Linked DNA regions of Xenopus tropicalis. The protein of the gene in region 1 purifies or fractionates together with the protein of each later gene. This does not show direct contact. Links are inferred from orthologs where the notes say so. Each region holds a gene or a part of one and is shown on either strand. Other genes may lie near its edges.

The links. The genes of interacting proteins can lie anywhere in the genome.
Region 2: the proteins of kdr (region 1) and cdh5 purify together in Homo sapiens (affinity purification with western blotting; 3 studies listed by BioGRID and IntAct, with this or other methods). This does not show direct contact. The link is inferred for Xenopus tropicalis from reciprocal best matches to the Homo sapiens genes KDR and CDH5.

Annotation. Positions count from the first base shown.
Region 1 is NC_030677.2:40,282,382-40,284,888, reverse strand, and holds part of kdr (vascular endothelial growth factor receptor 2), read left to right. Parts: coding exon 1-70; intron 71-843; coding exon 844-989; intron 990-1,373; coding exon 1,374-1,470; intron 1,471-2,189; coding exon 2,190-2,275; intron 2,276-2,419; coding exon 2,420-2,507. UniProt on the Homo sapiens protein: Tyrosine-protein kinase that acts as a cell-surface receptor for VEGFA, VEGFC and VEGFD. Plays an essential role in the regulation of angiogenesis, vascular development, vascular permeability, and embryonic hematopoiesis.
Region 2 is NC_030680.2:57,844,536-57,848,035, reverse strand, and holds part of cdh5 (cadherin-5), read right to left. Parts: intron 2,575-3,500; coding exon 2,321-2,574; intron 2,189-2,320; coding exon 2,052-2,188; intron 1-2,051. UniProt on the Homo sapiens protein: Cadherins are calcium-dependent cell adhesion proteins. They preferentially interact with themselves in a homophilic manner in connecting cells; cadherins may thus contribute to the sorting of heterogeneous cell types.

The sequences.
Region 1 (2,507 bases):
ACAACAAAGGCCTGTTTTTTCAGAGCTAGTAGAGCATTTAGGAAATCTGTTGCAAGCCAGTGTGCAACAGGTAAGTCAATACATGGCATACAGTACACCTGTTTATGGCATTTGAAAACATATTAAACTTTGTCCAGAAAGTATATCTTAACCTGTAGTTAATGGACTCATTTGAACAGTGAAGAAATGATTTTGGGCAATTGCAAAACCATTACCTTTTGATAAGCAAACACATGCTGTCTGCTTCCTTCAGAGTGACTCAGTACTTCCCATTGATGTTAGTGGCAATTGACTAGCAATGGATAGGGATCGGCTTGATCACTGTTACAAAAAGCATTGAACAAAATGCCCAGGGTTTTCTAACCTTTTATATGTAAAAGTGTAGGGGCACTCTATGTGGGTAGGGGTTGTCTTTATCACCTCTTCAGTAAACCAAATGCCCAGGGTTCTCTAGCATTCATAAGGAAGGGTATAAAAGATTTTAAAAGGGTGTAATTTCAAAAAAGCCCACTTATCGGGATTCAGACATGTGCCATGCATAATACCTTTACGTACCAAATAAATGTTCCCAAGCCCCAGGCAGTCAAGTTAATCTTAGGTGTATGTTGTTTGGTTCTTTACAAATTTGGGGAGTGCCTTGTATGTTTAAGGGGAACAATAATGGGTAATGTGTTACTATTGCAATACATATATTGTGACTTTCTTAGAAGCGTTATCTTACGCAGCATAAACCCGATAGTACCTGAGAGTGTGGAATAGTTTATGTTACAATTGAAAGCATAGTTGTTGTACTGTATATTTTAACAACATTCTGTTATTAATATGGAATCCTTTATTTTCAAGGATGGAAAAGACTATATTCCACTTACAGTATCTTTAAACATTGAAGATGATTCTGGCCTCTCTGTGCCAACTTCACCTGTTTCCTGTATGGAGGAAGAGGAAGTTTGTGATGCAAAATTCCATTATGATAACACAGCTGGATTAAGGTACTATCCTATATATAGAATACACATCATACATCACACAACATCCCAGTTAACAGCTGGTTTGACATTTTTTCATGTGTACATGAAAACAGTGGATTGAGGTTAATTTTTGTATACACAATAATACCGTCTTGTATTTTCTACTGCGGTCTTGCTCTTATGCATAATCTTTGAATTTTTGCTTGCATTGTCCAAACTCAAAAATGTGGGATTTATAGCAAGTCATGCAACTCATTCTGAAATAACTCATATATACAATATACCTAAGGTGTGGCCTTGGATTATTTAGAGTGGAAATCTGTCCTAGTTATTTGAGAACAGTGAGATTATGACATTACTGCCTTCACCTTTTATCATTTTTAACAGTATAATATTTTACTCCAGGTTCCTTCACAGCAGCAGCAAGAGACAGAGCCGTCCTGTTAGTGTCAAGACATTTGAGGACATTCCTGTAGAGCCTGCAGTGAAAGCCATTCAAGATGTAAGCCTGTCTCTCCCATTAGCTTAACACTCCTACACATCTGCACCTTTTGCTTTCCCACAATACATCATGCTCCCAAGGCCAGAAGCGGAACAGCAACAGAAGTAAACAGAGATCATGCATGAACAACTTTGTGATTATGCTCTGTCAATCAGCGATCAATGATGCAATTATGTCTGTTCAGTTACAGTTCAGTCCATCTCACAGAGGTTGCAACACACATAATAGGGCATATGTACATTCACATTCACTCAGAATCCCAGCATCATTGTGGTCGCCCAGGGGTCAATGCAGTTGGCACAATTACTTTTGGCCAGTTGCATCCCAACTGCATTTTGTCACAAATCAGATGCAAAAATTCATCTGGCATCATTTCCAGTGTTCGGCATGAGAGTGACACCTGTGCCTTATATTAAGGCACAGGTGTGCTGCTCCTATTGACACTGGGTACAAAGCCGGTGGTAGTTCCTATGCTCACCTGTGTCAATAGGTGCAAAATCGCTCAATTTGGAACAGAAGGCAGAAACGACTGAACAGTGCTGAGCACAATTATACAGAAGGCAAGAAACACATTTTGAAGCAAGTACCTATAATTAAAGTAGTTTTATGCACAACTGACTAGGGGGAAGGTGTGGGGGCCACAACTGCACATGCCAAATCCTGCCAGTGGTTGCAAGCTAAGGATGGCAATTACGATAAATCTGTATTTCTTGTTTTAGGAGAGCCAGACAGACAGTGGAATGGTTCTTGCATCAGAAGAGCTGAAAACACTGCAAAACAGAACTGACCAAACACAGTTTTTTAGGTATGTAATATCAAATACTGATATATATATGTATTTATACATAAATATAATAAATAATGTACCATCTATTGTAAAATTATAAGCCAGGGAGGAGATCAATGACAAGGTGACTTTAGTATAATTTCTCGCAATTATATTTTTTAGCATTTTGAAGCAGAGTAAAAGCAAGGAATCCGTAACATCAGAGTCTTCGAACCAAACTAGTGATTGCCAGTCGGGGTACCATTCTGAT
Region 2 (3,500 bases), on another chromosome or scaffold:
TTGTGGCTATTTTACCCAGTTTCAATTGGAAACAAAAATTTTGCGACTTTTTCGTCGCCGTCGTGATTTTTTTGTATTTGTCGCGACTTTTTCGTTGCCACCGAGACTTTATTGTATTTTGCGCGACTATTTCATCGGCGGCGTGATTTTTTCGTATTGAGCGGTTGTAAACTGTGGAAAAACCAATCCGTTTTTTCGCAACGGCAACGAAAAAGTCACGGAAAATATACGAAAAAGTCGCGATGGCGACGAAAAAGTCGCGGAACATGCGAAAAAGTCGCGACACCGACGAAAATGTCGCAAAAATACCGATCATTACAAAAAAAACGCATTTGGACGCCATCGGACCGTTCGTGGATTAGTAAATCTCTCCCCTAGTCTGCCCAGTAGCAGTAACCCATAGCAACCAATACAATTTTAAACAGGTGACTGATGATTCTGCCTGATGATTGCTTGCTATTAGTTACTGCTACTGGGCAGACTTAGTGCCTTTTATTACATAACCCCCAATGAATTTTATCTCAGGTAAGCACAAAATGCAGAGGAGGTGGTTTGTCTACTGCTGACTTTTGTTATCTGTGATTGGAGTAGGAGTTTCCCTTTGGCAGTGGGTTGTTTTTTTTCTTTACCAACTGGGTCCAGACAAATTTAAGGAGCAAACTTCTATGAGATGTCGGCTATGACGTTATTGTACTTAAAACTCAAATGTTCATTCTGTAGCTTATATAGTGCTCCGTTCTGTTGCTCTCTCTTTGCTGAATATAAAAGGGATATAGCAAGTCATATAGGGAACTCATTAACTTGTTAACTCAGCATTTCCCAAAAATAGCAAACCTCTCACTTACTCTAAAACTCACAAACTTTTATAACAAGCTATATTTCCCCTTCCTGTATAGCAAGTGCACAATGTAGCCTTTTTGATGTGATTTTAAAGGGAAACCATCACTTTTATTTTAGTCAGTAAAATATATATACAGTATATATCCTTTTTATTTAAGTTACATGAAGAATAAACCTTTTAGCACTTACAATGACAAAATGTGGTACTATTGCTTTAATAATAACAATACAGGTATGGGATCCGTTATCATGAAAACCATTATCCACAAAGCTCCAAATTACGGGAAGACCACTCCCATAGAATCCATTATAATCAAATAATTCTAATTTTTAAAAATGATTTTCTTTTTTGTGTAATAATAAAACATTTCCTTGTTATGAATCCAAACTAAGATATAATTAATCCTTATTGGAGGCAAAACATTTCTGCTTATTTTTCTTTAGTAGACTTAAGGTATGGAGTTCCCAATCATGGAATCGCCCAAATTATTATCTGAAAGGCCCCAGGTCCCAAGCATTCTGGATAATAGGTCCCATACCTGTACAAGTAGTATTAATAATTATTATTATGCATGAATTTATAAATACTGTTTATACTGTTTCATTATATATTGTGCCAGTATTTTAAAAGATCAGTTAAGGAATTTGGACTATATTCCTATTTTCCACAAATTGTAGAATTAACATACAATTTTACTCAAATATTTTTTTGTTTTTTTGTTTATTCTGGCCTCCAACAATCAATCAACATGTCTAATCAGTCCTTTTTTTGGTCTTCAGGCATGGTACTAAATTGTATTATGTTACAAATCATCATGTCCATTAATTTGAAGTTTTTGACCATATCAATCAGGGTTGTACTGTCATCTCTCTGTCATTTTTTGGAAGGTACACAAAGTTACAGGAAGTTTTAGATTTGCAGTGCCTCATTCCTCTTCCTTCCTGACACAAAGATTTTTCTATATGAGGCATTAGATTGTTGCCACTATTTGTGAATTTTGCTGGAGAAAATGTAAGTAATATATTTCCAGTATATGCCAGTAGCCATGATTTAAAAGCATACATAGTTCTGGACAGACACAATATGTACTAGTATATGAAATTCTGTGCTATGATGAAGAAACCCTAAAAGATTGCCACTGATAAAATATGGATCCAGAAGCATTTGTATATAAACACAGGTAAATATCTGAGCAAAGAGTAGAACTTACTGCTAGGATCAACTTCTTCAGCTACCACAGTGAAATTGTGCCAATCCGCAGTCTCTCTGTCAAGCGTCTTGACATTGATAATATTTCCATTGTTTGTTACCTTGATTGGTTCATCTTTAAAATTTCTCATAGAATATCTGCAGTTACAATAAAAAAATAGATTACAATAATTTACTCATCTGAAACTCTGATGCAGTCTCCTTGTATGTTTACAGAACTAATTTAAGCACAATCTATTCTGTATGTTAATATTCAAAATATGTTTCTACCTGATGTTTCTATTAGCAGCATCGGGATCTTTTGCCGAGACAAATCCAATAATATTGTTTAATTTAGAATCCTCTGAAATTTCAAATTTGTAGAATGGTTTGGAAAACACTGGGGGCTCATCCACATCAAGGACATTAATGATGACGTTTGTAATACTCTTGGGCCTAGTCTGTTTTGCCACACGTAAGTCGATAAGGGGATCTGTTGCTTCAATGTCCACGTTATATTGTTTAACACTCTCATAGTCCAGGGGCTGCATAAAACAGGTTTAAAGAGAAGATAAACATTTGTATTGCTAGAATAACACATTAACGGGTAGATTATTTTTTTTTGTTGACAGTTGAACTAAAGAAAGCCAAAAGAATGGTTTAGGATATTCAAAAACAGATGCATATTGTAAGGAAGTGGTTTTTAGATTTTCAGAGTATTGAAGCCTTGCCTGTACTGTAGTTCAGAATGTAATTAACTCTTCAAACATTATAATAAGTTTCAAATATATGAAAGCATTATCTTGTCAGTGTGTTATGGTTCCAAGAATATCTTGAAAGCAAATAAGTTTTCCTTAGAGATGTGTTCCTAACTGGTATTCCTGCCAAGATTCTAGAACTATCCTGAACATCACCTTCTTTGGAATTCAGTCAACCTAAGGAGTATTAGCCCTAGAGTTTGGAAACTTTTGCAGTAAGCATAACCATGCCCATCTGTGTGGATTAAAGGGATGGAAAAATTATTAAAATACATATATATATATATATATATATATATATATATATATGTATTTGTTATATAAAGAAAATATAATCTTTGTCTTCATTCTAATATATATGAGTTCCATTAACCTGTACAAAACTCAGCCTTCGACCTTGTGCTTTTATATGGTCATGGAACTCCTTGTTGACTTATAATATCCATATACAGTATTTTACAAAAGGGGGTACATTTTTCACTATATAATACACAAAAACCCTAAATATATTCTTATTTATTTATATGATTTATTATCCTTTATTTATATACATCACTGGGCACTGATTTTATAAGAACTTTTATAATATGGCATCTGTCATGATTCATTCAGATTTACTGTATAAGATTTCATAGATGTAAAAGGATCAATACCATTTAGAAATACAATCATTCTTGTCAGAATTACATTTTTAAATCTGCATATTATTTGAT